Struthio camelus: one gene and its partner. The protein of the gene in region 1 interacts with the protein of each later gene in a biochemical or structural test. Links are inferred from orthologs where the notes say so. Each region holds a gene or a part of one and is shown on either strand. Other genes may lie near its edges.

Evidence for each region.
Region 2: the proteins of COPB1 (region 1) and ARCN1 form a complex in vitro, tested with the Homo sapiens proteins (2 studies listed by BioGRID). The link is inferred for Struthio camelus from reciprocal best matches to the Homo sapiens genes COPB1 and ARCN1.

Annotation. Positions count from the first base shown.
Region 1 is NC_090946.1:22,174,105-22,190,156, reverse strand, and holds the start of COPB1 (coatomer subunit beta), read right to left. Parts: upstream 6,922-16,052; 5' UTR 6,658-6,921; intron 6,549-6,657; exon of another isoform or gene 6,276-6,548; intron 3,853-6,275; exon of another isoform or gene 3,728-3,852; intron 3,402-3,727; 5' UTR 3,338-3,401; coding exon 3,247-3,337; intron 2,569-3,246; coding exon 2,339-2,568; intron 1,548-2,338; coding exon 1,378-1,547; intron 642-1,377; coding exon 527-641; intron 1-526. Other genes in the region: PSMA1 (proteasome subunit alpha type-1), read right to left, coding at 8,427-8,483, 9,006-9,110, 10,094-10,173, 10,859-10,988, 12,101-12,171, 12,918-13,006, 13,869-13,972, 14,479-14,580. UniProt on the Homo sapiens protein: The coatomer is a cytosolic protein complex that binds to dilysine motifs and reversibly associates with Golgi non-clathrin-coated vesicles, which further mediate biosynthetic protein transport from the ER, via the Golgi up to the trans Golgi network.
Region 2 is NC_090963.1:340,740-357,114, forward strand, and holds the start of ARCN1 (coatomer subunit delta), read right to left. Parts: upstream 9,383-16,375; 5' UTR 9,256-9,382; coding exon 9,253-9,255; intron 7,949-9,252; coding exon 7,685-7,948; intron 6,917-7,684; coding exon 6,737-6,916; intron 6,495-6,736; coding exon 6,289-6,494; intron 5,494-6,288; coding exon 5,332-5,493; intron 4,544-5,331; coding exon 4,378-4,543; intron 2,935-4,377; coding exon 2,787-2,934; intron 2,416-2,786; coding exon 2,307-2,415; intron 2,142-2,306; coding exon 1,937-2,141; intron 950-1,936; coding exon 860-949; 3' UTR 1-859. Other genes in the region: IFT46 (intraflagellar transport protein 46 homolog), read left to right, coding at 9,604-9,654, 9,730-9,939, 10,022-10,164, 10,562-10,636, 10,757-10,850, 11,279-11,407, 11,846-11,967, 12,624-12,690 and 3 more. UniProt on the Homo sapiens protein: Component of the coatomer, a cytosolic protein complex that binds to dilysine motifs and reversibly associates with Golgi non-clathrin-coated vesicles, which further mediate biosynthetic protein transport from the ER, via the Golgi up to the trans Golgi network.

The DNA of each region.
Region 1 (16,052 bases):
TAACCAGGCACAAAAGAATTGCCCGTGGAACAAATAATCCCAAACAATAAACATAATTTTCTTTCTCATGTGACTAAAAAATTTACAAAGCAGTAGGTAAAGGAGCACTTCTCAATCTGGTCAGGCTCATTTGGCAAAAATTACTTACAGTTTTCAGCACCAATGTGTTCTTTTTCCAAATACAGCGACTGCACTATTTAAACAAAGACAGTACACTGAAGTCCTACGTTAACTTATTCACAGTTACCACGCATTCCACAAGTGTGCTAACACCACCACATATAGTGGTAGGTATTCCACTGGGTAGAGTATCTTCAACTAAATTTTTAATAGCTTCCATTCCAAGATCTTTTCCAACTTCAAATGTAGGTACTGCTCTGATTCTTACTTCAAATTTCTTTATTTCTTGTTCATAGTTTTAACAGATAATTAAACTGTGTTTATTTTACTCAGTAATATCTTAGTTTACCGACAAGTAAGTTTTCAAATACTTAAATCAAATGAGTTAAAGAACAAGTATCCTTACCTGATCTGCGTGAATTAGCATCATAAACGCATTTCTTTTGCAGCTTGCATCCTTCTCATTCACCAAGAAATCATGGATCAATTCAGGAGCATCAGGTATAAGATGTTCAAAATTTCTTTAAAAAAAGAAATCACAATTAAAAAGACTATTATCAAAGGGCAGAGCCTAAAGCTTAATTGCATATCTTCCAGACAAGTGTTTAAAAAAAAAAAAAAAAAGCATAAAACAAGTCATGAAACATAGCTTTTGCGTAGTTATTTGAAACCGTGAACAGATCCAAGGAGCTTAAATGAAAAAATTGTTTGCTATCGTGACAGCTAAGATGATATCCCACCAGTGATTTTGGTTTAATGGTAGCATTCATACTGTTTAGGTAAGCAACTGCAACAATGCTTCAGGATGTAACTGCAGTAAATTATTACACGAAGAATGTCTCACTTCAAATAAATAAAATATATCCATATTCCTGTAAAGATTCTTCTGTGCTTATAGTTGTGTGGACAACCATTACTATTAATGCTTATATCATTAAGAAAGGTATTTGCCCACACAAATTATCCTGCAGCAGGAGGACCTCAGTCATACTTGAAAAAGCAACAGCAATACCTTTCACTTTTCCAAAGAAGTTTATCAGATAGAGGAGGGAAGAAAACAAAAACAAAACACAACACAACACACACACACCAAACTCCCTCCTTTCTTTCCCCCCCACCGCACCCCCCCCCCCCAATTAACAATGACTTATATTGCTGTCCTTGCTAGGCATTTATGAGATCTCCGAAACTATCTACGTCAGCAAAGTTAGCCTTGGTCTTCTGCCTCTAAAGCTGTAAACAGTTTCTGGCATTTACCTATAAATTGTGTAAATTGCCAGAACTGCATTTCTGCGCACATAGCTGTGACGATGTTCTAAACATGCACGAATGGCTGGCATCAAAGGCTCCAATAATTCTGCTTCCTTCAGCTTACAAAGAAAACGAAGAGTAGAGCCTCGGATAAATTCATTTGGGTGCTGAAGATCCTAAAATAAATAAGAAGCATATCTGAAACGCCAGACTCTACAACCTAGTTAAGTTCAGATGAATGCACTTCCTAGCCTTTTCCCACACCAATTCTTTCCATGGTACAAATCCCAAATATCAACAAGGACATCTCACTGTCTTCTCATGAAATACCTTCTTAAAACACTGCTGTGCCACAATCTTTAAAAAAAAGTATTTCTGTGTAATGAACTTTATAAAATTTGGGGGTGGAGAGCTGGGGGGGGGAGGGGGGGATTGTTGCATTGTGTACATTTTCCTCTGATGACTCAAGCTGTGGAAGCTCACACTGCAGGCATTCCTGCACAATGGACACTAATCTCCAGTGAATATACTGAATTAACATTCACCTGCTTCCCATCAATTCCCACAGAACTTGCGGAACGATATTATCTTTGTGAAGCAGTGTCACAAACAGACTACAGTTAAGGTATTCCAAAAGTAATGTGCTTCTTTTTAGAAAGAAGGCTTGTCCCAAGACACTGTGGAGAGAGTAGTCACCTTTCCTCTTTGAAGTTCACCAACTTGGAAAGTAAAAGTACTAAATCTTTCTTTAGTAATAATAGTAAATGAACACGTAAAAATTCCTTGATAATAACTTTGTTAGTTATCTAAAAGCTATCCAGCTCTGAAACAGCGAGACAAAGCACTTAGGAAGCAAACACTGAGCATATACCATATATGTATATCTATATATACTTAGAAAAGTAATGCAAAATGATATACTTTATACAACGATCCAGCACGTGACCATAAGCAATAAACAGGCTACCTTCCTATATGCATCGCATACAAGGATCATTTCTTGCAAAAGTCTCCCATCTGGAGTGGTCTTTGGAACTATTTCCCAAAAGACCAGAAGCAGTTTTTTGATGGTATGATCTTGAAGAGGCAGTACAAAACGTATAATGGTCATCAGAAGCCCAGGTAGTTTTTCACCATTTAGAATCATAATGATTACTTTCTTCAAAGCTTCCGTCTTCAACTTGACATCTCCTTTTTCTAGAAAGGATAGAAAAATTCAAGAATGCAAATCATAGTAATTATGAAATCAGAAAGTCAGAGTTTTAAAACCTAATAATACTAATTTTTGATGTCAGAAGATACCAACTCCCTCATATGGGGTGCAATATAACATTACCAATAAAATTCATCCCCTTAGTTATCAGGGAATAGTTAAAGAGCAAGCCCAAAATTCAGATCTAATTGCAGATTAACATATTCCAATTAACTGAGTTTAACAAATTTTGCCACTAAACAGCATTTTATACCAGGATACTATGAGGCACTGTGATGTTAGAGACACATTAAAAACTAACACTGGCACTTCTGCAAGCAAGATACAGTAATGCACTGAACAAGCGATAAAGAGATTTATATCACTGCATTACGTAAATCTGAACATACTTCAAACAGAAAGATAGAAACACATTTTGAATTTTTGCACAGAGCGGGGTAGGGGGAGGAAGTCACACAGTATGTAGATAAATACCACGACGTATTTCTCAAAGCACAGTGAAGAGAGGAATTTATACATTTCAGAAGTCAACAAAGTAAACTCCAGCAAGTCAGTTTGATTTTTATACAATATAAACAGTATTCTAGGAAACGTATAATGAGAGAAAGTGAACATAACTCGGGTATGACTGAGTAACCTTCAAATCATAGCTCATTACTTGCCTAGGTCATTTTTTAAGCTGATTTCAGAAGGTGGCTCCGAATCCATTGGAACATTGATTAACGTGTAACACACGTTCTCTGCAGCAGTCATTGTTCTCGGTTACAAATGTTTTCTCAAGGGAAGAATTGCTTTGTCTGACAAATATCAAGACAATCTAAAAACAAGCAAACAAAACCACCCCAAAGTTAACAGATTTTATTAACAAACAGCACAAAGGTGTTTTTGCAACTTTATGATTTCAACAAATTGTTGGGTTTCTCGAAAAATCACATTCAAAAGCCTTCTCAATGTTTTATTACACTAAATGTTCCTGTTAACCTAAAATGATGTAAGAATATGAAATTTCCCAAAGTAACTGGCCAAAAAAAGTAAATCAAAAGAAATCTTTCCGATACTTAGGGTACAGTTAGAGAGGACTGAAGCATATGGACACCTGATTGCCACTGAATGGATGCAGCAGCTTTTCCCTCTTCTACTCACCCCTCTGGTCCTGGCTATCCGTTCCCACTGTTTTCCTTGCACGTCTGTGGCCCGCCAGGGCACCAGAGCGCAAGGGCTCAACCTTTGACTCAACCTGCAAAAAAAACCTGAAGAACACCACAACCAAAAAAGGGAAGAGTTTCCTTCTTATATAACAAGTTGAATCAGCCCATGAAGGAAGCTTTGAAGATGAGCGTGAAATCCAACAGAGCAGAAACCAAGGACGGGAGAAGGGAGGACATGACGGAGAGGAAAGTAGGACCACCGTGTTATCTGCTAAAAATCATTAGAACAGCTCAACTCAGCGCAACTGATCCTCTAGTCACCAATAGGAGGAAAGTATTTGCATGAAGAAGAAGTACTAGAGGATTACAGGTCCACTAAAGGTGCTGTGTGGCGGACAGTTCAGATAACAAAATGAACCATTAACTTAAATCTTCATTTTCTTTGCTTGTCACTTCCTTTTACAATAGAATTTTGGGATTACTTTTTTTTTTTTAATTCCATTTCCTAAATAATGGAAAACACTCCAGTTTGAGCTTGCTCACTTACTACTCACTACAGTACCATACGGAAATGCAGAGTAAAAAAAATTATTAGTTTTCATTACTTGGTGAATTCTGTATTTTCTACAGAAGTTCAGAGAAGAAACTACTTTGTACGCACATTCTACATTTACTATAGTTAATTGTCTTGAAGTTTAGACTGAGGCTAACAAATCATTAAAACAGGGAAAATGGCTTTTTACTTTAAAGTATGATACTATGTATACGTATAAAAATACACACTTGCTTTATGTAATTATTGCTATTAATTAATAACAGGGCCAAGTGAACTAAACTATCTCTGTCACAGGCTGAGATTTGCATGACAGATCAAAACACTAAACTCTCCAATTTAGGGTTACACTTTCACTGCAGTTTGCTTTCAACACTTAAAAGAATCCTCTGAAGTTGGATAAGCCTGAGCAGGGTTATAGCTCCATGACACCATGCCTTCAATAACATGCCAGTTTAAGAAGTTACTGCCTGGGATATTAGTTCCTACCCCACATCACCTCTTCACCTGTGCTGAGGCAACTCTTGAGATGTGAACCCTGTAAATCCACCACCCTTACTTTACTTTTAAAATAGTAAGAACAAGGGAGAACAAAAACCCTACATCCATTCCCAGTCTGCTTCTCCAAAAAAAGAAGAGGCAAAGTGGGCCAAGGAGTTGCAGTGTCTGAACGAATGGCTGAGTAACTCCACAAGCTGATACTGCAACCAAAGTCCCTTTTCTTATCAAATGGTCAGCTGAAGAATCTCAGCCTAAACAGTGAGTAGGGAAGCTGTGCTAACTTGGGCTGTAGCCTTTTTTTTTTTGCCTCAGAGGCTCACAGGTTTGAGTAAAAAGCACCACTGCTCCCAAGCTACAAGAAAAGAACACAATTAGAACAGTATCACAAATTCTGCTACTACAAAAAAAGGGTTCTAACACAACATTTTTTAAAAAGCCTCTTTCTGTTATGCTTTTAAGGATTAGATCCTCCAAGCTCATTGTTTCCTCTACAAATGGCTACATAAATCAATTCTAGCATTTTTCAGAAACAAGAAAATTCTTGCTTCACCAGCAGCTCTTTCCCTCTATCCCATTCCCTTGGCCAGAGCTCTTGCCCCAAAGCTCTGCAACTAGCATCTTCATTTCTATCAACTTCATCAAGCAGATAATAAAATACAGTTGTGAAAAAAGCAGGTAGAAAGAGTCCAACTGCAGAAACTCCTTCAAAATCACGGCAAAACAGATCTCTAAACGAGGAAAACACAGACCCATTTCTTAGGCTCTAAAAAGCAGCAGTGAAGGGAAATTCTTAAAATACAGAGCTGGGAGACTGGGCAGCAGGAACAACCAGTTCTTCCTCACAGAGAAGCATCAAGCCTTGGAACCAGCATCTTCCCATTCAAAATTTGATCTTACCAAGAATACCCCAGATAAGGAGAAAGCAGATGCTACTCTACTTTCCCAGCAATAAAACTGGAAAACACCCACACTTGTATATGGAAATCCAGAGTAACACAGTTTCCAACGCACGTACAAGGAGGCAAAGAGAACATGCCTACTCTCCAGCTACAACGTCCTTAAGAAGCAAATGAATCCCCACAGAAGTTAAACATCAGTTACGGTGCTGGCAGAATTACAACGACAGAGTTTTATTTTAAGCTTTGGCTATTAATATCTCCGGAATCTAAATTTTTGTATTCAGCTATTTTCACTCAGCTTTGTAGAACAGAGCTAAAGACCTCTGAATTACAGAACACTGACACAAGACGTTAAGGAGATACCTTATCGAGCAAAACCCTAACAATGCATCATTTCACCTCTGCATCACCTGGGAAACACAACACACAAACTTGTATTAAAGTAACCCGGAGTAAGTTTAGAGGATCATAGCCACATCACAAGGGATTCTCTCCTCGCTTTTCCAAGCGACTAATTCTTGCCCGAAACACCTCGCACAATTAACTATGACTTAAAAGTTAAAACGTTTGGTTTTTATTCTTTTCCTTACCGTTCCCCTGAAAAAACTTCCGAGACACGCCAGCAACCCCCCCCTTCCCCGGGGAGGCCGCACCCCCCCCAGCACACACACGGCCGAGGAAGCCCCGAGCCGCGGGACAGGGGCTCGCTGCTCCCTTTCAGCGCCGCTAACGGCACTGCCGGCTGCGGCCCTCAGGCCGCCTGCCCAGGAAGGCCCCGGCCGGCCGCGAGCCGAGGGGTCCCGCGGAGTAGGGGGAAGGGCCGCGGCCCCGCAACGGCCCTAACGGCCGCCCGCCCCCCCCCCAACGGCCGCCCCGCGGCTCGCGACCCCCGCCCCGGCGAGGCCGCCGGGCCCGAGGCGCCGTGGGGCGGGCTCCGCGCGCCATAAGCGCTGTCCCGCGCGGGCTGCGCACCCAGCTGGTGTGGTGCGTGGCGTGGCGTGGCGGCGCGGTCCGGCGCGGCCCGCGGCGGCGGCGGCAGCGGCTCCCGGCAGTGGCGCGACCCGCTCCGGCGATGGCTGACGTGGAGCCGCTCCCTCCTCGGGCCACATCGATGGTACGGCGGCCCCAGCGGGACACACCTCCCCTCGCACAAGAACGCGGACGGGGCGGGGCGGGGCGGTGCTGCGTCACGGCTCGGGGGAGGGCCTTGCCCCTCTGACGTCACCGCTTGCTCGCTAGGAAGCGCGGGCGGAAGGCCGGGGGGAGGGGAGCGAGGAGCGCGCGGCCGGCCGGGGCCCGCTCGCCATTGCGTCAGCGCCGTGACGTCATATGCACCATAGGGTGACGCTGCAGAGCTAAGCACGTCCACTGCGACAGCCTGGGCAGGTGGCACGGTGGCAGGCAGCACGGGGGCAGGCGAAGGCCAGGCCGGGCTCCTTCAGCCTGCCCCGCTTCTACATCAATACATGCATCGGACGTTTACAATGGAAAAACAACGCCAAATTCACTTTGTTTATCACACTGTAGCTTCAAATGTCTTTTGCATCTCTACCTGAAACACGGGCTTCCCTCGGAGACATCGCTAAAGAAATCTCTTTTCAGTAAGACTGCTGCCACTGCTATAAATGGGAAATTACTCTTCTCACTTCAACTGCTATTAGTGTAATAAAACCCAATTAAAGTGTCTAACGTTCGCATGATGTGCGTGCATGACACTTGGAAGAAAAATCTTCATTGAAGCTGATCACTAATAGCAATGGAGTACAGAAAATGCAATATGTGCATATTGCATTGCAAATGCAATCAAATTTTGTGACATTGAACTTAAATCCAAGCTGTCACTAAACAGAGTCCTTGGGTAGACTCTATAGCACAAACCAAAGTGACAAAACCAAGAAGGAATACAGAGACTAGATAAGTCAGGGGACCTGAAAGGGCAATTTAATATGTTTCCATCATTACTTACATGTAGCGCATGCATTAGTGAGCTAAAAAAGCCCTTGGCTACCTGATGGCTGTTTGATGGCCCTAAAGAAATGAAGTCATTCATTTCAGTTTTGAAAGACCTGAGGTTTATTAAAAAACACAACTGAAAAAGCTTACTGGCAGCTTCATGCTTATTCTGTCTGCAATAATTCCAGTAAACACTCATAATTAGAAATGTCTGTCCAAGTCACGAGTGAGACAACCACAATAAAACAGGCGGAAGCTTGATGCATCCTACATGTTCTAGGACTACTTTGTAAATAGAGGGATTCAAAGTCCTGTCAGTGCAATACTTCATGAGCACTATATTTATATAAAGCAACCGAGGGCTCACAAATCAGTTACTGTTTCAATGTGACAAATAGTACATGATTGCATCTTGATAGCACATTGATTGTATGAAAGTAGTATTTGAGTAGCTATTTCTTCAGATTTAAAAAAAAATGAACAGTACATTCCAAGAAAGATTTATTTCCACTTGTCCTTACAAGTTAAAGACAGTATGCTTTTCATTAAAAAAACAGTATTGTGCACTATTTAGAAAATGGTAACACCTTTCTTGTCAAAGAAAATATGTCCAACTATCCTACCATTTAAGGATAGATGGGCTAGTTTGTTTGTTTGTTTTTATAGCGTAATCCTCAGAATGTGTCAGTAGAAGACGCATATAGGTCAGGAGAAAGGTTACCAGCAGATGGATATATGTTCCTGTATAATTATACATAGGTAAACACACAGCAGAATTCATCCATCAACTAGTGCTCCATGGGCTCCTCTGCCTTTTCCGCAGGTTCATCAGCGGGCGGAGCAGGCTTAAAGAGAAGAAAAAAAAAAACATATTATAGAAGGGAAGAAAACAGTACCTAGCATATCCGCTTTACACTAGATTGAGTATCACAAGTGGTAAAAGTAGCTCACATAAACAAATAGCTTACAAGCAGTATTATATAAATCAAGCATGGAGAAGGATAGAGCTGGTAATTAGAAGACTTGAGGAGGCATCTTGGGACAGACACCAGGAACATATGTAGCCACTTCTGCTACAAGAAAGTGAAAAAAAGTAATCTTAAATAAGGAAAGAAGATGAAGACATTGGAAAAGCCTTCTGCCAATTTATCGTAAACTGATTTAATAAGCAGCTTAGCCTCCAGCTTCAGTCTTTAGACAAAGATGATATGTTGCCTCCTGTTTTCATGTAGCAATGTCAAATTTTAAAACTGCATACCTAAAACCCTACTACACTAAGAAAGCTAAATGTCCTAAACATAATAGGTCATACATCACAAAATGTTGCCTTTCACCAAAGCCTCTTTATTTGTATATAAAACACAAACCTTTCTCTGTGGTCTCTCCTCAAGACCTTCTAGGAATGGTGCTACGTCATCATCATCATAGATGGTAAACTCCATGTCTTTGCCCACAATTCCAATGGAAACATTCTGTTAAGGAAAATTTTGAAAGAAGTAAGACACGTTTTTCTGCAAATAACTTGAATCTGTTTCACAAGTGAAAACTGTAAAGCCATTAAGTTTCCTCCTGTGATAAAGGGATTCACTTTGCTATTGTGTCTACTTAAGGAAGAGAGGAATTCCGAGATTCCCTTTTTGGTAGGTTGTACTAGAAAAGGAAAGGGAGGCAGAGAGGGAGATTTATTCCCTACAAAAGCTATCATGCTTTGAGATCTTACCAGTAAAATCACTATTCAATGATTTCAATTTCTATTTTTTATTTTAAATAACAAATACCTGATTTTTCAAAATCACTGATTCTCATCTTTTTTTTCCCCCCTCCCTTTTCCTTATCGTAAAAGTTCTAACAAAACAAGATGGGCTAAGAGTAAAAATCTTAAACACAGATAAGGGCAGATCAGCCACAAACATAACACTAACTTTTGGTAAGAGATCTGCTTAGAAGTTTCTTGTTCAAGAGCTGGTCAGTTCATATTTCCTGGCAGAGGCTTTGCATCTTTTTGGTATTGGATGCTCAATCAACTGTTTGCATAGCTGTGCTCTGACTGAAGGGGCAACTCCCCCCTTCCTTTCCAGTCCTTTCCAATTGCTGATTGGGCTTACAAAGCAAAGTGATGATCCAGTTGTGTTCAATGCATCTTAAACACTGATCAAACCTTAAAATAGAATATTTTACGCAAGCAGCCAGGAAAATGATGCCTTACTTAGACAAAAGTATCATTTTATTATGGTAAGCAAACAAACAAAAAAAAATTACAGATGAAGCTGTAGGTAAAGTTGTCACATATGAAATGGAGATGACGCTCTCCACCACTATTTGGCTTCCAAATTTCAGTGCCAGTCATACTTTACATTAATTTTGTCATAGCAATTTCTAATAACAATGGCAGTAAAATTTCTTCTTAAACACACAAAAACAAACAAAAACAAAACAAAAACATCCTAGTATTTACCTTGGTGGTCAGATCTTGTTCAGCAGGAAGAGTCTCTCTCAGGGCACGCAGTCCATGCTTAACTAGCTCATTTAGATTACCTACAAATTAAACGCAATTAGAAAGACATTTACGAAATAATACAGTTGAGTCTCTTGAGACTCTTTTGCCCTTCCTCCTATTCCCAGTTGACAACTAGAAAAATCAACCTGGCTATTTTGACTTCCAGAACTGCGCTCCTTATGTATTTCCGGTACTGAATATAGAGTTGGTTATCAAAGTATACTTCAAGAAGTGAGCCTTTCCTTACACTTCAGGCCAAATGCATCCATTTTTGGCACCTGCATTGTCTTCAGTGCAGTGATACTCAAGCTATTTTTTCCCCAACCAGACACACAGTAGCCTCCAAATAACTTTCATATAAAAACAAATTTGCGATTTTAAATCCACAACCTAGAGACTCATCCTGAAATATTATGCCTTCTCTGTAATACAAAGAATTGCTCTTTCCCTGAGTTACACAGGATGGAGACTTTGTACTTTTTTCTCAGCCTCTGAACAGAAACTTCTTTTTCATTAGATCTAACAAAAATCCAGATGTTAGAAATGAAGATTTGTAATGTATTCTTTACAATTATTGTCTTCATGCAGATTTACACTTACACTAAACTTGGCTCCCAAAGTTTATCTTCCCATTTTACTAAACACAAAAGGATGGAGCAATAGCACGAAAAAAAACTGTGCAACTGATGAAGACCATCAGATAGACAGAGTTTCATTACTCACAGTCAGTAAACTCAGTCATGTGCCTCTCCAAGTAAGTTCGAGCTGACTGTGAACGAGCACCAATGGACATTGCTTTACAGTCAAAATAGTTTGCAGAAGGACAGGTCTGGAAGATGTGAGGACCCATATCCTACCAAAAGGGAAAACAAACAAACAAGTAAACAAACAAAAACAATACATGTTTTTTTTTCTAAAACAAAGATTTGCTTCATGATACATCACATAGCTTATGTCTAAGCACAGATATATTTTATATTGTTTATCATACCATTGCTCTTACCAATTGCTTCAAGTCTTATTCTAAATAAATAAATAAATAAACAAACAAACAACAATCCTCCTTCATACTTTGTTATTTGAAACATAATTTTTATGCAGGTAGGATAGCAGGCACCAAAAATCTTTCTTTCTCTGTTCCATAAGCTGTACCATGCATACATATGCTTCCCACCTCATGGCTTGCAGTTAAATATTTCACACACGTTCTGTCTGATCTGTGCAAGTGTAAAAACCTGCTGTAGATTTAAGCATGTCATGCCAGATTTCAAGCAAGCTGCCCATTTCCTTCAACCTTCTTCATGCGAAATATCTTCAGCGCAGTGATTCTCTTTGTGTACCATAGTAAGTAAACTATTCTTGAAAAACAAGTAAGAGTGTGTCCAGTGAGGCTTTCCACATCCATTTAGAGTATTTAAAAACAATAGTTTGTTAAAGATCCATAACCACTAGTAAAATAATTACCGCTATCAAAGACTCACTTCAGCTTATAAACATTAACATTTTGATCCCTGAAAAAATGAACAAGTCTACTGTTTGCAGTTTTGCACAGAAACACAAAGTGACATTAAAACACAAAGATCATTGCAACTTCATTTCAGAAGATCCATTTTTTCATAGTGTTTCAGTGTAGGAATCCCTCCCTTCAAACACTTCTGAAATTCATGTCCTGCTACAGCATCTCATTTTGCACCTTAAAATAATTATATTTTCATTTTTGCAAATGCATGCCTTACAAGTGTAAGTAGGATTAGCCACCAATTACCATTTATAAAAGTTATAAAACTTATAAAAGTTATGTTTTAGGGTAAGATGCAGAAAATGATTCCTTAATCAGAATTTTGACAAGTTTGCCTCTTCCTTCTATCTGTCCCTCTTAACATTTACTTGTATAAAAGTGAATTAACCACTTTTTTTTTTTTTTTTTTCTTTCTCCATCAACAGTAACTGGCACGCTATACTTACATCATAACCTGCGATGAGCAGACCAACACCATATGGTCTTCTGCCATAACGCTGCGTTGGTATCTGGGTTTCTTAAGCAAGCTAAGGAAGCATTCTCAAGAAAACATGTTAATTACCTAAAACGTTTTCCTAAGCCAAGCAGAGATGCACCAAAGTTGTAATACAGCTTTTCCCCCCCACTAACAGGAATTTCTTTGAAGAAATAGATCACAGGGCTTATTTGGAATACCAACACTAGCTCTTTTTCACCAAAAAATATTTAGCAACTAACTTTCCCAAAAGAAGTGAGTGGTGCACTCAACCAAGTAACACAAACAGTTCACTTAACGCTGCGCAGCCTCATTTAATTTCTTTTCCCTTTGAACGTTTTGTGGGCACTTGATATCAGAATACAAGGGCACCATTGTGTTCCATGCAGAGACAACTAAAGCCGCCACAGAAAAAAATCTGAGTAAATCTGAGTAGCTGCGCTGCAATCCAGTAAGTGATGATATCTTGAATCGTGTAGTTATCTTCCCCCCCCCCCGCCCCGCTCCGCTCCAAAGGCAGTGCTATGTAACAGAAAAAGCAGCACCATGTTAAATGTTGCATAGCACTTTGTTGCTTTTCTACCAATTCAGCGTGTTACAAGGTATACTTTAAAAGGACAAGCAAGCAGTATGAATAAAGAGAAACTAACTTTCATGCTAAATTTATAAAGTTAATTAATTTTAAGTTGTGATATATAAAAAACATTTTAAGAACAAGTATGAAGAAGTGTAAAAAAAAACTGTAAAAGTTTAACAAGTGCAAAACAAACAAACAAACAAAAGGATACTGCTTCCAATTAGTGACACTAAGCGAGAGACTGGAAGAGGTCTGTCAAACACAAATCTGGAATCCAGGCACTCCTGACGCATGAAATTGCTGAGTGAGGGGGTCACAGAAATGGGGGGTGGGGGGAAAGAGGGGGAAAAAAAAAATCAAACCAATGCATAGTGAAAGTCGCAATGAGATTTTGTCTCAATATTTGTCTGTTAAAATATATTTTTCAGCTCTGCTTGTTAAGAAAAAGGGTCAAAGGCACTACATGATTTCATTTCATCATGACCTATAATTGTTATTTAGAAGACTAACCACAGGCTTGAAAGATTATTGTATTATTTCAGCAATACAAATGAAGGGAAGGTAGAAGTTCATGCAGGCTATAGAAGGGTCATCTGGAAAAAAAAAAAGTCACATGTAGATGGCAACATTTCTTTCATTTCTTTGTAACAGCGATTTTTTTTTTCAGATTCTTCCTACACCTTCTCTGTCCTTCCCTCTAAAGCTGAGGAACTCTCCTCCTAGGAGACATTTACCTCATCTCCTGAGACTCTGTATCCAGCAGACAAAAGGTAAACTCCTCTGAAGCTTATGTATACAGCAGTATGTTTTTAGTAACTTTCTTAAACGTATACAGAAGGATCTACAAGAGGGAAAAACGTGACACCCTTTCTCAGGCTGCTTGGAAATCCCATCGCACTGGGGAAACCAGACAGAGGACTCTCTTACTAGTATCAAAAACAAAGAGCAAAATTTTGGGCCAAACAAATTAGATTTCTGCCAATGACTTAAAAAAAAAAAAAAAAAAGAATTTCTTGCTGAGGTCTTTGGCATAATACAAGAGAGCAGTAACTCAAGACTAATCCTTAGCTGATCATAAAAATCTCATTTGCAATAGTCTACAAATGAACTTTCACTTCATTATTATTGCAGAACTCTATATGTCAACCACTAAGACACTCACCACAGGAGTCTTGCATCAGCAGTAAGTCCAGCAATTGAGATACCAATATGGTTGTCAACATACAGGATTTTTTTCTGATGAGCTGCCAGCTCAGACTGTGCTCTCTATGCATGAAAAGAAAAAGCTATGTGGCAGACTGAACAGACTGCCAGTCACTGTTAAGAAATCCACTAGCATTTATGGCAAGAACTGAATATGATCATGAAACAATAATAATAAAGCTATAAACTTGTAACAGAAAACAAGAAAAATCTAATCCTACTTCAATAGGAGACTGTCAGAAAGAAAGAAAGAAGGGACACTCACTCAACTTTTGTGACAGAAAAGAAGTAGTTTTACTACTTAATAACTGAAGAAAAGAATAGAAGACCAATTAGCTTTTGAGTTAAAAACCTTTCACCAATTTCCTTCACTCCACCAATCTGTGAAGACCTGTTTAGCACAAGTATTGAAAATACGTATAGTTCTACACTGGTATTCAAGCATAAGGAAAATGGGATTACAAAGTACATTATACACAGCATAAAAGTTCAGACCGGACAAAACTAATTTCCCAAGCTAAAACTACTCTGCTAACATTGCTGTCCCCAGAACACAGTTTTAAAGTTACCTTTAGAGCAACCAGAACAGCATGCGTTTTTGATTTCAGCCCCACAGTAGCTGAGCCTTGTTTCACAGCTTCCATGGCATATTCAATTTGATGAATTCGCCCCTAGAGAATAAAATCAGTCTACTGTCAGTCTAAAATGAAGCCTCCATATCAATTTTCACTAGTTTTTGATTTATAGACCTTTGAGTCCCCTGCCAAACAAATACAAAGCCTGCATAACGTAATTTAAACCTACAAGCAATATACAGACCTCTGTGACTACCTTTTGCAAACTCCTTACCATTAACCTACCTAACTTTGGCCATCTCTTAGCCACTCACCACAGCATACAAAAAAAAAAAAGCAGGACAACTAAAAAGAAAGGGTGAATCCAAGCATTATTAGAACTGTGACACTTTGTCATCATCTTCAGTGCAACCAGTATTTAACCCAATGTGATTCAAAGATGGAACTTCTGGCTGAATCTGGATTCTCACTTTTATTCTAGTTTCCTAAAGAAATGAGTCTTAAGCAATTGCTGTGTCTCACCATCCTCTCCCTAATAACTTCTGAACCTATTAGTCAATTGCAGTAAAGTCTGAAAGAGGAGTAGAGGTCTCAAAGACAATTAAGTTTTATAAAAGTCAGCAGCTTTGCAGGAAAAAACACATCCTTTCAATGCTGCCACTGAGGGCAAAGCAGGTAATTTGCTACACTTTAGTTGGTCAGCTAAAATAAAACCAGTTGTGATGTTGTACTGAAACACAGCGCACAGCTGGAGCTATTAGAGTAGGCATGTGCCGAGGTTTCTTTTTTTTTGGGGGGGGGGGGAGGAGGAGGGAAGGGTTTTTGATGTGGTTTATCTGGAGAAATATAAAATCCACTAGATGTTTAACATCCCTTACATTTCACTTTATCCACTAAGATAATGATGAAATTTCAATAATATTGGGTATTTCCTCTCCAAGAACACTATGGAATCACCATAACCTGTCCAATATATATTTATCAACTGTCATGAATTACTTAGACGGCTGCAAAAAAACATGAAGCCCTTTCTAGCCTTTCATCTTGCATTTCCTTTTCCTTATAAATGTATCAGAAAACACCCACCAATAAAATATGATTATTCTTTGCTCCTGTATTAACAAAGCCAAAATAATTATTATGGTATTGTATCACTGCCTCTGCAGCCCAGCCATACTGCAACTACAGGAAGGTGTAGGGAAGTAATTGCAGCACAGCAGCAATTTTAAATGTCTTTTACAAAAAGTCATTAGCACTTTTCATAATTTCAAGGCCGTTTCTGAAAAAGTTTAGTAGTTAAATGTTATTGATGACTTCTTAATATCTACTGAAAAATCTCAGTAGAATGTCATATTTTTTAAAATAATTTTTATACCAGATTGCTAAAAAATTCAAAATTTAAGTCTCTGATACCACATTCACCACAGAAACACAACCATTTAAAAAGGATGAGATGTGGATGCAGGGTTCCATTCCTAGATACTGAATTCTGCCTTCTAATTTTTCAGATATTACACAGACATCAGTAACAAAGCTTTAACATAATTTGTTTTAATTCTATAATAAAT
Region 2 (16,375 bases), on another chromosome or scaffold:
GCCAACAGGCAAAGTGGTTCAACTTACCAAGAAACTCAAGCGGCTCAAGTCAGGATACACAGATGGTTCTAAATGAATGAAACCGCTTTAAAAAGCTGGCCCGAGAGCTTTCGCAATAGACAGCGGACCCTGACACGGGCCATGGGTCGCAGCAGCAACAAGAGAATTCAGAAGTGCAGTCTCTGCTCCCTAGAAGCCCACCCTTATCTAACCACACCAAACAGGATGCCTGCAGGCCTCCTGATAAGCCCAAACATAGGTTCACCATTGTGATGGCGCAGAGGCAAAAGGACTGAACATCTGAGCTATGACTCCCTCCTCCCCCCACACTCCTGCCACAATCCCCACCTTGGGAATCAGAGCCAACTTGTCCCACTTCTACCAGACAGAAGGGTCCAGTGAAACAAAATGCCCTTGTGCTTATTATCTTAACGCCTGCTTTCATCAATAGAAACACAAGTTGAAGGCAGAGGAGAAATTAACATGGCAGCACCAACAACACAGAGTGCGTGAAGCTTAAAAAAGGGAGAGTAATGTCTAGCACGCTCTGGGACTGAGCTCTAGTCAGCTTCGTGCGAGAAGAAGGGGAAGTGTCAAAGCCGGGTTCTCTGCGGAGATCTTGCTTTTCTGCTGGCCAGTAAAAATCTACCAAAGAAATTTGCAGCCTTTCTCCCCACGATCGTGTCAATACTCTGCCAAAAAATGTCTGTGACCCAGGAACACTGCAGATGGCAGATAGAGCCATGTGTCTTAGCAGAGAGAGGGCTGCGGCGTTCCAGACATTCAGAATAAACTTCGGCCTCTTATTTTTTTTTTTTTTTAATTTAAAATTTTCCTTTGCGATTCCCCATAGCTGGCATTACAGGATTTCATACTTGTCCACCAGGAAGGTGGTCTCAGTAGAAAACCTTACAGGACTGTTCCCATCTACCTGGGTCACTTTGGTAACCTGTGGAGATAACACACACAGTTAGTTCAGCATTTAGCACTGTACTCCCAAATCACACACAGCTAAGCAGAACTTTCCGATTAGCTCTTGAGACAGTCACAAGGATAAAATTAGCCCATCACTTTGAACCACAAGTCGGTACTGCAAGATCGATCTTTGTTCCCAGGAAACCTGAGAACAGGGGAAAGACAACACTTATGTCCAACCTTTACAATAACTGCGTGTCTCCTTAAAGCAGCCTGCAAAGAGTTAAGCACTTGCGAGCTACAGTTCAACGGAGGATAAACAAAGAGCCGTACGCTGAGAAGTCTTTTTGCCTGCAAGGTCGATAGATTCTCTAACATAAGTTTGAGGGCAACTCATTATTTAGAAGAGACACGAAGGCACAACTCAAACTGCGGGCAAGTTCTAGGAAGCTGCAGTTAGCAGAACTGTTCGCTGGCACCAACGAATCCAGCTAAAAACATCATCTTAATACTAATGCCTAAGCCCTCGCTAAGTGGGACAGCGGCGCACTCACCTCGTACCCTATGTCCCACCATGGCAGTTTTCAGCCAAAGAACGACCTGAGGTAGCTTGAAAGAGGTAAGATTCACATTGTGAAGCACTGGGCCTGCAAGGCCGTCTTCTTTAGTGTTGCCTACTCTTTCACTCAGACCAGCTGGGAGGCAGAGGAAGGGGCAATTTCAGATTCACAGAGAATAAGAGCAAAGCAAGAGGAGAGCACAGCACTGTGACAAAGAGCTGTCCTTGAGGAAGAAGACGGCCTATCTCTCTGTCACCTCTCTAGAGAAGACGACAGCACAATAGGGCAGACATCTAAAGAACGTCAGCGGCACAGGTAAGCAGACGCCACAAACGTAGCCAGGCAGGCTAAGGGCAGCTCCCCTCAACGTTATTAGCATGAAACAGCAACAGCATGTTCTGCAAGCACCCCCAGAACTTTCGGCTCTTTCAGAGCAAGTCCTGCACCAGCTGTGACCATACCTGTATGTTGCAATAGTTCTTTTTGGAGACAAAGGAGACTTGCACTGGGAAGAAGTCGTTTGGCTGCCCTGCTATGCTGAATTCCAGGCTGCCGCTCTTGTTTTTGGCATCTATCACTGGCAGGCACCACTCAAGGAGATTTCTCCGGCTATCGTGGCGATACTCGCCATCAATCTCCCCAATCACTGGGGCACCGACACCAGACCTAGAGCAGGCAACAAGGAGCTACAATAGCTTATCTGTCTATAGCTAAGGGTATGTTTGTCAAGGCCACAGGCATGAGCCAGACCTACAAACCAGGAAAGGAAAGGAACTGACAGGATACGGGAAGGCGCTTGTCAGCTTTGCACGTACGCGGAACGCTACTTACGGCAAAGGGATTGTGATGATCACGTCGTTCAGTTCTAGGCTTTCCTCTTGCAATTCATATTCGATGTTAACGTCACAATTGTTCCCACTTTCTGATGGCCAGCAGTTAACTGAGGGCACAAAAACAGTATGCTGACCCATGCAATCTTTGCAAGTGAAAGAGGTGTTCAAAAACTAACGCGCTTCAAAACCACAGCACAGTTATCACCGAGAAATTCTGACTTGAAGAACAAGAAAAAGCTGTTATTTGAGGGCATTACTGAAAACAGGACACTAGTGCGAACAGGTACTATCTAAACGGAAGACAAACACAGGTCTTCCCACCTCTGCACTCTGGTGGTCTCACAACATATCACACTCCAGAGCCAGCTGCACTTCTGCAAGGCAGGGTACAAGTGGGCAACCTGCGGCTGAAGACCAGCTTCTTCTGCCCAAGCTCCCCAGGCCACGTACAAAAGGCCACAGGCACGCTTGAACTCACTTGTCAGCGGAATGAAGGACTCTTCTGTGGTTTGCAACCTCCATTTCAGCACACCCACATCACTGTTAATAGGGAATGATTTCTCTGGGTTCTTCAAACCAATCTGCGATTCTGCAGTGAAGAGCTTCTTGTCCACGTTTGGGTGAGTCTGAAACGGGAACATATGCCCAGACTGTGCCTGCCACTGTGCTAATTTTAAGCCCTGGGACAGAACTGTACGGAGATAACTCAGGTGATGGCCCTACGCGTCCCTGAATATTTTCCCCTAGAAAACGCACCTTTTCATTGTTCCCTGCTCAGAAGCCCTACTGGACCACATCTGCTTATCACGGACCACATCTGCTTATCAACCTAAAATTCTTTCCAGCAAACGTTGATACATTAAGAAAAATCCACGTCACTGGAATTTTTACCTGCAATTTAGCCCAGACACTCTAGCAAGGGGAGTCCAGGGCTGGTAGTTACAGAAAAACTGTAATGACTCTTAAAATCTCAAATAATGTTTTAAAAGCATTCGCTCTTGAAGAAAAAGTGGCCTCCTAAAACGTTTCAACCTCACGCTACCTGGAAGAACACCTTGAAACCACAAGAGCACTACTTCTATCAGCAGCCTTTATGCCTATACTAACCCAAATGATGGCAGCCAAACTCCATTTAAATACGCTCTCATTGCAGCATCAAAGGTGAGCAGCTTTTTAAAAGCAAAGGATTTTTGTTAGTTAACGTTCACGTTACGCTAGAAAGACAGGAGCCAAGACTGGGTTTGATTTAATCTTCCCCCTGAAGCAGCACACGTGGGAGTACTGTTCAGAACTTGTTTATGAGATGAGCTGATAAGCAACCTAATACCTTACCAACAGACCTGCAGCCAGCTAAGTACAGATCAGTTCTTGGCCTGAGGAAGGATGGAGCAACGCAGCATATCAAAGCAAAACAGTCTTCAGAGCTCAGTAAGGTAACAGAAATACAAAGGAAGAAAGGGAAGAACATCTCTCCAAGAATCTTCTGAGGTTATAGTACTAACTGTAACCAAGGGCTCCAGCTCTGGCAATTGCTTTCGATACTTACAGCAATGGCAGAACACAAGTGACCAGTGAGGAAACAGCTTTCTAGATAATAAATTCATTCTTCATTGGCACAGTAACTTCATTTTTAACACTCCTGCTCCACAGCTAAAGCCAACATGATACAACTAGCATCAAGCAACACACCAGACTGCTGCAAAGTCCAAGTGAAATAAGGTGGCTTGCCAATGTGCATCAGCAGACAGATAAGGCTCTGAAGGTATGAAGATAAGCATGAGCCTGGACTTTTCAATTGAACTTTAATCTTTTCAGCATGAGCTGGCCCTATCTTTACGCTGCAGTAGCATCTGCAACAACTACTGGCACTTTCAATGCATTTGCTGAGAGCTGGCCCTATGTTTATGCTGCAGTAGTGTCTGCAATGACCACTGGTATTTCCAATGCATTTGCTGAGAAGGCTTAGACAAGAGCGTAGTACAGTGGCATGCACTGAAGCAGTTCCCACATTTTGCCCTGGAGAGCAGCAAAAGCGTGTTCAGCAGCATGGAACACCAAACAGCCTTTACCTGTAGCTGCACTCCCCTCTTGTCTTCGTTTTCTACATGGAGGCGAATCCGTGCAAACTTTTCATCAGAGATGTGCAGTACGATCATGCCATGCAGCTCCATGTTCTGTAACCCTCCATCACGGCCACAGGTCAAGGAAATTTTTTCTTCTATTTTCATGTGCACACTAGACAGAAAAAAAGCAGTATCTCAAGTCCCACACTTGGCATCTAACAGACAGGATGGGAGATTAGCATTCAGCAAGGACAGGCTGTATACTGAACAGGTGCTCAAAAGACTGCGATAGCCTCAAATGGAATAGCATGGACAGCACAACAGACGCACACAGCAACACTGCTCTGGGAGGTTAACTGGGGGGGGGGGGGGGGGGGGGGGCGCGCAATGATCTGCAGATACAAGTCCGGAATAAACTGAAGTCCAGATAAACAATAATGATATAGCATCTTGCTATGCTGTTCACTGAAAATCCCTTTAATTTTACTCCCATGAGGCAAGCTGCTGTAAAGGTGCTGAATTGCTGCATGAAAAACAAACTATGACTACTTGTATCCTATGGCACAATTAGACAGGAAGTCTTTGTGTCTGGGGAATAGAAAAAATAGCAGCTACATTACCTCATCTGAAGGCAAAACATCAGGAAAGAGAGCAGCGTTCCAAAAAGCAAAGGAAAATCTCCAATCTCAGCTAAGCAATGGATGTACATCCCTTTTTAATTAAAGCAGTGTCTAATCAAATGAGCTATCTGGCTTTTTTTTTTTTCCCCCCCTATGTGCTTTCTAAGATTTTGCCCATGACCTTTTACAATTAACATACCAGATCAGCACACAAGACTAACAGGAGGAAAAAGCCCATTCCGAAAACCAAGGAGGAAGATTTCTGATAGCTCTTTAAGCAACATCGGGATCATACAGATAACTGTAAGAACACTGCTTTCAAAGCAAGGACAATACCTACCTCTCCATGTTAACGGGAGGAGCAAGAACTTTGGCTGCTTCTGCGGAGCGTTTGCCTACAGAAGTCATGATATTTTCTCCTTCCGATTTCAGCTTGTCCACAAAGTTGTCCACCTCCTTCCCTTTAGCTCCAAGTTTCAGAGCTTTACTAGGACCTGAGGGCCTAAAGGACAAAAAGCATAAGCATCTCCAAGTCAGTTTATGGCAAGAGATTCATCCTTCCTCAGCTATCATGCATTATTACAACTGGACTATCCCCGCATTGCCACATTCGCCTTTGCAGCCTTTTTCAGGGCGTACCAAGTATACGACAGATGGTCTCGTACGTAGGACAATAGATTACAAAGTAGATCTGGATTCCGTTCCCAGTACTACCAGTACCTGGTACCCTCATATTCTCAGACACAAAATGAGAAGCGCACTGCCCTTCAAGGATTTTATACTATGAGATGCTCAGATGCTACAGTGACCACGTATCATAAACGCTCTTAAACAACAACAGGCTGGTCTAAAGACCACGTAACACATACTGGTCTGTAAGCACGCACGTTAAAGGCTTAGAGGTCAACAAACACATGCCAGCAAAATTAAGGGGAGTGGCTTGACCGTATCAGCAAGGACGGTAACCCAATGGGAGGGCTACACAAATAAGCCATAATTAGAGAGTTGCACGTTTTTTGCAGGAGCAAGGAAGACAAAGCTCTTGACCTCCAGAACATAGTGCCAACCTGGCCAAACCCCACCAAACTGGCAGACGCCACCAGCGTACAGTCCACAGAGGACTGCTCCCTTATGCACCAAGGCAGGCCAGTTATTTTAGTGCCCCTCTTTATCAAAAATATTAAAGCGACAAGAAAATTAAGCCGCTGGGGAAGGAGAACTGAAACCTTTTATTTGGGCACAGAGTTTTCAGCCAGTGCTAACTCCAAGGACCATTCGCTACCTACTACACACGTACCTGGCAGGCGCTGGTGCCACTTTGGGCTTCTCTGTTTCAATGATGGTCTCCGTGATCATCGCTGCAGTTGTGCCTCCAGACACAGCTGAACTACCAAAGCCACCAAAACCTGGTGCCTTTTTGCCCTGTCTCTCTGCATCCCTCCTGGCCTGCTGCAACTCCTTTGCTTTACGGCGCATCTCAGCTTTTGCCTCGCGTTCCTGAGTCTGAAGGGGAAGATAAAAGGCTGATAGAGCTTTGGGATCTCAGTCTGTGCCACACAGCAAGTAAAACTAGGCTGATTTGCTTGTAAAGCCATTGTGAAGGAAAAGAAAACAAAAGGTAAACATTTAGCTTAGAGAGAAGCAAAGCGACGTTAAGACCCGTATCAAAGCGGAATAACGTTTTTTCATTACAATGCAGCCTTTCCCAGACAGGGAATACCAAACTTGAAATTACTTCAGCTCACCTCTCGGACAGCTCGGAACACTTTTTCTTCGTGTGAGTCCATCTCAGTGAAGGTCCGTATTTGTGCCAAGTTTACGTTCTCACGGTAGCCCAGGGCAACAATTTCATCAAAAGCAAAAATCAGGTCAAAGCAGTGTTCAGAGATCTCATTCTCCTCCAGAGCTCGACAATATTCAGGGATCTAGGGAGGGAAAAACACGTAAAAAGAGTCTTCATAGAAACAGACGCCAATACGTTTTAACGTTTTCTTTCTGTTATGCCCAGACGTCAAATTTGTGCTAGATCCCCCACAAGACCTGCATGCTACTGAGCTCCTTAATGTTCCTCTCTGCTGTTGATAAACAACAGGATGAAGTTTTGCCATACTATTTACGTTATTTTTTCCTAACTCAAAATATTTAGACAACCTCTTAACTTCGCAACATTGTAACTCACAGAAACTTACGCAAACAAACACTGCACAGCTAGAGAACTTCCTGAAGGTCCTCTGGCTGTATATGACAGAAACAGGTTATAAAATTAACATAGAGACATCTGCACAAACATGCTACTTAGAAACGCCTTGAAAGTAGTGTTATACTTGCAGTAATCACATGCTGTAATGTCACGTTATTTTGTTTTTTGGAAGGAGTACAGGTGTTGTCTTAAGAATACAGCAAATATTTCATGCTAAATTTACTGTAGCGCCATCCCTTCAGTCTCACAACTTAAACTACAACCGAAAATTTTCTAAAATTTTCTGTAACTCAAAAATATTACAGAAACTTACAAGATCAAGATCACTACCTACTTCCATGTCAGGAACAGGCTCTAGAAAATGAAAATCTGTAGAGATGGAGGCAGACAGCACTTCAGTAATAACTCACCAGCAGGTTCCCTTATAATAGCATTGTTTCAGGCTACATTTACATGAACTTGGCATACAGGGATCTGAAGTGTAGATCCTTACCACTCTGGAGAAAAGTCGGAGTGTTTCTAGGTCTTCCAGGATGTTGCTGTTTTTGGTGGTGATCAGCACCATGTAGAGCTTCTCCATTGGCTGATATACATACCGCACGCTCTCTGTTTCCACAAAAGTGTGCTGCTTCCCAGTGTTCATGAGTTTCGGGAAAGCTGCCAGCAGCCCCTCGATGCGGGTCCGAGTCATCTCCACGAACTGCCGTGAGACAATGGCCTTCCCCGCCTTTGTGCAGACGGCTGCCGCCAGTAGCACCTGGGGAGAGTCCAAACATCCAGTCAGCTGCACCCTTCAGGGAGCAGGTCTCTGACACCACGAGGTCTCTGCAAGTCCAACACGCAATTACTTGCCCAAAGAGGGGATAGTTTCCAACTAACATTAAACACAGGACTGTTTTGCAACGTGATGTTTCTCCTCAATGCCACATCTACAGTAAAGTCACGTTAACAAAATACGGAAAGCTATATCGATTACAGCACGTGGGTGACCCTCCTGGGCGTTTCATACATGTTACCGTACCAACAATACAAAGGCACGGAGGTAACCGCCCATTTACATTCTCTGATTCTCTCAAGACTACCAAGGCTCCCTTCTGAAGTTCCTCCTCAAGGAAGATAAGCTTTTTAATTTAGTCAACATAAGGCATTTTCGGCAGCTAAAATCTTTTAAATCCCCAACCGTTGTCTATTTACAGCTCTCTAATAACGAAGCATGTACTAGCAGCTATCAAACGCAAGCTGATTTAAAGCCCCACCTGACACTCAGGGTAACAGTGCTCTGCGTATGGCCAGGTGAGACATTTGGATGCTCTGATAAAACTGTCAAACTGTTTCTGGACTGCCCTAGGGGCTCTGTAGCTTGACAACCCAGGGACAAACGGGTCCTGACGCGAACAGGCCAGAAGCAAGCTTCCATTGTGTAACTGCCCCGTAGGAGGTCTCACAAGAGGGCCAACTTGCACCCAGCATTCACACCGTGCTCCTAACAGGCAGGTCTCCTCTTTCACGAGGCAGCCCAGCAGCAGAGAGTACGGCAGTCTCTGCTGAGAGAAACGACGCTACGGATGGGAAACAAGGCACAAGATTTGCTCCAGCAGAGGAAAAGCTCGGAGCTGCACGCTGCCTGAGGACGAGAGGGGCTGACCGGCCGCCTCCGGAGCCTGGCGGTACACGCCGGTGCTAGAAACCACGAGGCCTTGCCAGAACCGGCGGATGTGACAGCCTAAGCGACCTTTAAAATGAAGCTGATCAAGCCTCCCCCGGGCAGCAGCCAGGGTTGGGCGGCCGGGCGCCCCCGTCACCAGCACCGCAGCTCTGTGCGAGTGCCCCCCGCTCCCGGAGCCCGCCCGCGGCCCGCGGCCCCCGCCCGGCCCGGCCCGCTCCCCAGCGGCCCGGCTGCCCCAGGCCGCGCCACCGCCCCCCGCGGCCCGGCCGCTGCCGGGCACCTCCTCCCGCCGCGGCCCGGCCCGGCCCGGCCCGGCCCGGCCTTGCGCGCCCGGCGGCGGCCCCCGCGGCTGGCTCCGCGCGGGGCGGGGCGGGGTGGTGCCCGGCGGCCCTCACCATGGCGGCGGCGGCGGCGGCGGCGCTGGGCTCCCGCTCGCTGCTCCGCACCGCCCGCGTCTCCTCGGGCAGCCCCACAAGATGGCGGCGCCGAGCCACGTCCCCAGCCGGAAGCGGCGCCACGCACGGCGCGGCGGGGCGGGGCCCGAGGAGACTCCGCCCCCCGCCCCCCGCCCCCCGCCCCGCCCTCGGGGCGCGGCGGGTGCCCCTTCCCTGCCGCGCGCCGCTGGCCCTGCAGGGAGCGCCGAGGGCAGGCGCTGCGTGACCATAGAGGCCGGCCGGCCGGGCGCCCGGCGGGCCGCTCTAGCTGCGGCCGGCTAGCGAGGCGAGGCGTCGCGCCAGCCGGTCGCCATGGCGACGGCGCGGCGCGCGGGGGCCATGGCGGAGGCGCGGGCGCTGGAGGTGAGCAGGCGGCGGGGCGGCTGGCGGGGCCGGGCCGGGCCGGGCCGCGCCGCCTCAGCCCGCCCCTCCGCCTAGACCCGCCTCGTCGAGGACCAGCCGTACGACGAGAGCCTGGAGCTGCCCGAGGCCGAGGAGGCGGGCGGCGCGGCGGGGCGGCCGCCCGGGGCCCGCTCGCCGCCGGCCGGGCGCCGCCGGGGCCGCCGCGGGCCGGGGCCGGGCTGGGCGGGCGGCGGAGCCCCGCGGGCGCGGCCCGGCCGCAGCAGCGACGAGGAGGGCGGCGGCAAGGTAGGCGCGGCGGCGGCGGGCGGGCCCGGCCCGGCCCGGCGCGGTGAGGTGAGGTGAGGCCAGGCCCGGTCCTCCCGCCCAGGAGCAGGCGGGACCGCGCCCCGCCGCCGCCCCCAGCGAGGACGAGGACGACGGCGACGAGGATGACGACGACGACGACGAGAGCTCCGAGAGCGACTCGGCCGACGAGGAGGAGGAGGAGGAGCGCGGCGCCCCGCTGGCGGGGTAAGGGCACCGCTATGCTCCCGCCCCCAAACCGCCCCCCCCCCCTTTGCCCACCGACTGCCTTTTGGCAGATCATCTACCCCCTTGGCACGTCCGCCAAGCATAACTGTTCTGTCATCGCCGCTTCTTTAAATAACTCGACAAACTAACTCCCCGTCATTGAGGGGCTTCTTTGGCTGGGATGCCTATGGCAAAAATCAGCTGGGTACTGTTAGCACATGCAGGAACTCTTGTGAACGTTACAAGACGTTTCTTCTGAGAGAGGACTGGCTATTATGAATTCCTTTGTAATTGTGTTGTACAGCTGGATCCAGGTTCTTGTCTTTCTCCCTTTAGTGTGCTTGTACAGAACCTACTGTAATTTACTCTTCATCTGAACGTCCCTTCCTTTCCCTAGTGCCTACAATCCAGCAGACTATGACTATCTGCCAGTATCTACTGAAATTAAAGAACTCTTTGAATATATAAGGAGGTGAGCTGAAGGAGTTTTAGCCTGCGTTTGACTCTCCTTTGTGTTAATGGTAAATTCTGCAGGTAATTTCATAGGCACCTGCACTGCGTGTGCATGTGTGTCTGTGTGTTTGTTTTTCAGGTACACTCCCCAAATAATACAAATTGAGCACAAACTGCAGCCTTTCATTCCCGACTTCATTCCTGCTGTTGGAGACATTGATGCATTCTTAAAGGTACACAGTTTTTCAGGTACCTCTCTATCTCCTGCTGCACGTGCTGAAAGAGTATGTGGCATTGCTGTGATTTTGACAGTCAGGCTGTGCAGCAGAGAGCTACCCTTGCTCTGAGAGGTAGGAAGTAAAGTACTAGAGACCTAGGAAATCACACTCCAACTGATTGCGACTGGTGTGGTCAGCTCCGTGACCTTGCAGAGCAAAGCATACCTCCTTTGAGGTAATGGCTGCACCTTGCTTTGTCCAACGCCTTGTGCATTTCAGGTGCTGCTGTAATGACAACTCATACATTTGCTTTTTCAAAATAGCTGGCCTACCACTTGCTTTTACAGTCTGAAGATTGAGTGACACAGAAGGTCTACACGGAATAGCCCCTGCTTCTCCTCCTCTGGAGTTGCACAGAAAACAGGTTCTCTGTTTATCTGCAGGTTCCACGTCCAGATGGCAAACCTGATAACCTTGGCCTGCTGGTCCTAGATGAGCCATCTACAAAGCAGTCAGATCCCACAGTGCTCTCTCTTTGGTTAAAAGAAAATTCCAAACAGCACAACATCACAGTGAGTTGTGAGGGGAGAGGAGACATTACTGCGCACCACAGAAAAAAAATTACATGTTACTTTTACTCTTGTGACTGCATGAATACAGTGTTGCAGCAAAACTGATAACTTGGCTTTACAAACAGAAGGAAAAAAAAATATCTTTCCCACCTTTAGGCTGAAATGCATCTAAAACTTTGCTTCAGGCAAGTCTTGGTACAGACATTGGATCTATTTGTTTCCTTCAGCTGAAATTTTGTTTCCTTTTGTTTGTCACTACATGGTTTTACTCAGCATTTTGTTTCCCAGCTCCTCTTCTGTCTGCAGAAACCACTTGGCATAGTGCAGCTAGGAAAGAGCAAATGCACAGTTCAATCAGGAGTGAACACAGGGTTTGCAAAAAAAAAAAAAAAAAAAAAAAACTACAATGTGTTTCCAGGTTCATATTTTTGGTTTCAGCAGCAGATAAAAGTGAAGAGTATAGAGAACGCAGAAAAGAACCCCAAAGCCATTGACAGCTGGATCGAAAGTATCAGTGAGCTGCATCGTTGCAAACCCCCTGCCACGGTCCATTACACCAGGTGAGTCATTACACCAGCTCTCCTTTACACTAGCAGCTGCACATACTTGTCTAGTATAAAATTGGGTCAGGGGAAGGCTAGTTGCAGAGCCTAGGAGTGCTGAGTGGAACTATCCAAGTGTCGCTAAGAGGGAGAAGGCATTTCTGGCTTTACAGGGCAGTCATACAACCTGTGTATGCAGGACACTCGCTTCCCCCTCTGTCCTCCTCTTTCCCTGTGTAACTTGAATTAATTCAACAGCTAGGACATCTAACTTGCAACTTCGTGCACACAGTGAGTTTCCACAAAAGCGGGAAAACCTGGATAAATCAGAGGAGGCAAGGCTATTATTACCATGTCCTGATTCATTTCTCAGCTGTTGTGGCACTCCCTTCTGCCCAAACTCATAATTTGGAACTGTCCAACCTCCCTCCAAAGGATATGCTGTTTCCAGCGTCTTCCTTTAGCCGCAGTGCCAAGCACAGATGTTGCACCTTCAAAGCTTAGTCTTGGTTTCTTAAATAAAAATGCCCAAACTGATGCTCCACAGACACGCTACGCTTTCCCACAACTGGACAAGACAGAAGCTGTCCCATTTATACGAGTCTGGCAGTAGGAAACCATTTCCATTGTCTGCATATAATCCTGAAGTAGGCGTTTTTTTTCTCCCCTTGCAGACCAATGCCTGACATTGAAACTCTCATGCAGGAATGGTTACCAGAATTTGAAGAGCTCTTAGGAAAGGTACGTTGTCCAAGTGATGAGTAGTTAGCTCAGTGCGTGATTTTAGTAACCTTCTTGCATGTAATCTAGGTTTCTGTTCCACTTTGACCACTTCGCCTGTAGCCTGCTCGGTTCAGGTTTGTTCCTCACCTACCCCTTCTCCCTTACCAAGAGACAGGGGAGCAGCCTAAAGCCTAAATTCCCAGGAACGGCCCAGGTAGCCTCTGTGCTGGGCCTATCGTTAGCGCCTGTGCTCAGGCTCTAATGTGAACAGAGCTGACAGCCTCCTCTGTTCTAGGTGGGCCTCCCAACTGCAGAGATAAACTGTGGCCTGGCTGAGTACATCGACATGATATGTGGTAAGCAGAGGATAGCCCTTTCTTACCCTCATTTGAAGGCATCTGATTGTCTCTAGCCCAGAAACTGGCAGAAAATAGAAACGTGAAGCTTTAAAAGATACTGTGAGGTACAACATTGTCTCATGCTGGTCTCTAGAGGATGTCTCAGGCAGTTATTAGCTCGGCGCTATTCCTCATTCAGGGGCTTAGGTTCTGTCTACTCTGCTGAGCAGGCCGATCAGACTGATCAGAGAACTCCCCTCCTGTGCCAAGTGTTTAGATGGGAAAAAAAGCAGTCCAGTACTTCTAGGTCCTTCTGCATATTCAGGACAGACCAGCTCCAGTCCTGTGCACCACTGACTGCTGAAGACACAAGTGTGCAGCTAGCCCAGCACTGTGTTACTAAAAGCAAGAGGCTTATGTAGATGCAGTCTCAGCCCTGAAAAGTCAAGACTGTTTTCATCTGCCTTCAGCGGGAAGTGGACTCTTGTGCCAAAGACATGTGTGGTCTTTGATGAGCAAAGGCCCAAGCAACGGGAGGCAGTGAGAAGGTCAACCTGTACTTACAGCACTGTCTGCACAGAAGTACAGCCCAGGTGCTCTCGTGCATTTCTGGTATTTGTTTGTAGCCATTCTGGACATCCCTGTGTACAAGAGTCGGATCCAGCCTCTGCACGTCCTCTTCTCGCTCTACTCGGAATTCAAGAACTCACAGGTAAGCGACTCCAACCAGGCCCCAGTCACCCAGCTGGGAGCATTACAAAACTTCTGTCCTTAAATCTGGCCTTGCTACACTGTGTGCATTTGCAAACTGCTAACAGGCCAACGTGAAAGGGGCCCAAAGAACATTTTCAAAGCTTCTCTTTTTCCTAATATCTCAGAGAAACGATGTTGATCTTGATCTGATTTACCACAGGGCTGGGATGCAGCATTGTTTAACAGTCCAGCATAAGTCCAGAATGTTTTTCCCAGTGAAGTCACAGTGACTGTGCCAAGCACACACAGGCGCTTGGACAGAACTAGGTTGGAAACCTCAGAGGCCAACACAAGGTGCTAGGCAGCTGCTGACCGCACAGGTCATACAGAGGGAAAGGGGCTTGTGTTTTCAGATGCACATATATATTCTAGTTAACGAGAGTTAAATCTTTGCGCTAACGCGTTATTTTCCCTGCAGCATTTCAAATCCCTGGCTGAAGGGAAGAAGGCTGGGAGCCCTCCATCCAACCCACCTTCCCAAGCAGCAGAAGTATTAAGCTTTATGTGAAGCTTCACATTAAACCCTAATCTCCTGGATCAATATCTGCTGCTGGGTATAGAGGTTTGACCAAACTAACGCATAAGGCAAAGCACAGCGTTTCGAAAGACTCCCGTATTTTATGGACGCTGCTAAGCTGCTTGGGATTCATAGCATTTGTTGCAGATGCTGCCTAATCCCTCCATTTTGACTTGTTCCCAAGGAATATAGCATTAAACTAGCTCTTCCAACTGACAGACTCCACATGACACGCTGCAGAGTACAGACTTGTAGAGTGCACCCTACAAGCACTACAGCAGGTGGAAATAAAATCCATGCTCAGACCCCAAACTGATGCAGCTGGTGTGTTCTAAGGTCTTACCATATTCCAGGGATCTCAGGTCTCCTCTGCCCATTGTTGTTGAGTCCCTTTTTCTATTCTCAAGTCACTTTGTTATGAGCAACAGTGTCATTGCTACCTTTCTGCACTTTGTGCCAAAAAGTTTGTGAAAGCAGGAAGAGCTTGGGAGGGGGACAGAACTCTTTGCTTACCTCTGGCTGTGTGCAGGTGGCAGCCGGTGACACAGGACACATTCCCCTTGGGATCCTGGTGGGTCAAAGGTTGATGAGGGCAGCATGTTAAAATCTAGCTCCCACCAGCTGTTTTAATGGAGTTCAGCAGAGAAAGAAACGATGAGAAATAACCAGTGCAGCACTACACAGACACTTGAGTTTAGTTTATTGCTGTTGGGAAGGCTCTTTCCAGCCGCTGGCATGCTGCCTGCCCACACGTCTGTCACAGCTCTGGCAGAGGCGGCGAGGTTCCTAGAGCAAGCAGGTCGCAAACCTGCTAAGCCCCAGGCTGGTGCTTACCCTTGCTCTGGGAGGAATCGAAGCAGTAGCAGCTTGACAAAGTCTGTCTATAAACAGCTTTGTTGCGTTTTGATGATAATGTATTTTTAAAGTGCCTGAGTTAAATAAAAACATGCCTTGGCTAACAGCACAGCTACCGAAAACAATCAAGGGAGCTGCTGCCAGCTCGCTACTCCGATGCATAGCTTAACATATTGCCAAGGGGCTGCTCAGCGCCAGCGACCCAGCGTGACTCCCCTGGCACCCTCAGCCCTGCTTGTTCCGACACTGGTACCCGTTGCCAGGCAGGCCCCCTGAGCTCTGGCAGCTTTCCAGGCATGGGAGAGCTCGCAGGTGGCTTCAGGAGTTGCTCTGTCCAGAAGGATGTTCACGAAGTAAGGCAGACTAGCACCACGGCAGGGCACACAGCTCACAAGTGGACGTTACTAAGGGCAAGAGCTGGGACACGAGAGCAGCCCAGGGTGTGGAGCAGCCTCCCGGAGCAGCAGTGGCGGCTAGGGGGCTGGTTTCTCTCAGGACTTGGCTATGCAATGTCGAGGGGCAGGTCCCAGGTGCTCCCATACTGCTAGTACCTGCTTGTAGCTGCATATGAGCGTCTGAGGCAGGGCAGAGATTCACGTCCCCAAAGTGCCATTCCCAGAGGTGCTACCCTTTACAGAAAGCTGACCTGGCTCCTTTGGTGTTAACGCTGGGGTTATTGGTACATCACCTGCTGCACCTCTTCTTCACCAATACCGGAGCAGCACCAGGGAGCCATCGCAGTATTTCTATCTCTTCTCACGTGACCAAAGCCATGTTTTTCCTACTGCAAGGGCAGCGTGGAACAGGAACACCCTGCATGCAGCTGGGATTTCTGCTACTACCCTGTTCTCAGGTGCTCTTGTCCATCCCAGCCCAAAGGAGGTAGAACAGTCCCTTTCTCCCTGAGATGACACCTCCCCAAAACACTGGGTGCCCAGCCTGTACTTCCCAAGATAGTAGCTGATTCTCAGTATTTTGGAATACAGGGGATCTGGGCAATTAAAGCCTAGTTCTGCCCAATGGCAGCCAAATTGACAGGCGCACAAAATACTAAGTCAGGTATTTGCCTCTGGACAAAAATAACAAGATCAGAAGGGATTTTAGGAATCCTCAGCATTAGCAAGTCCCCAGGCCTCAGAGAAGCCAAAGCCCCTTGGGTCTGGGAGGGGAATGTGCTCTGCCAGGGGCCCTGCAGGACACCCGTGCCCTGCATGCCCGCCCGCTCTCCCCCAAGGACTCC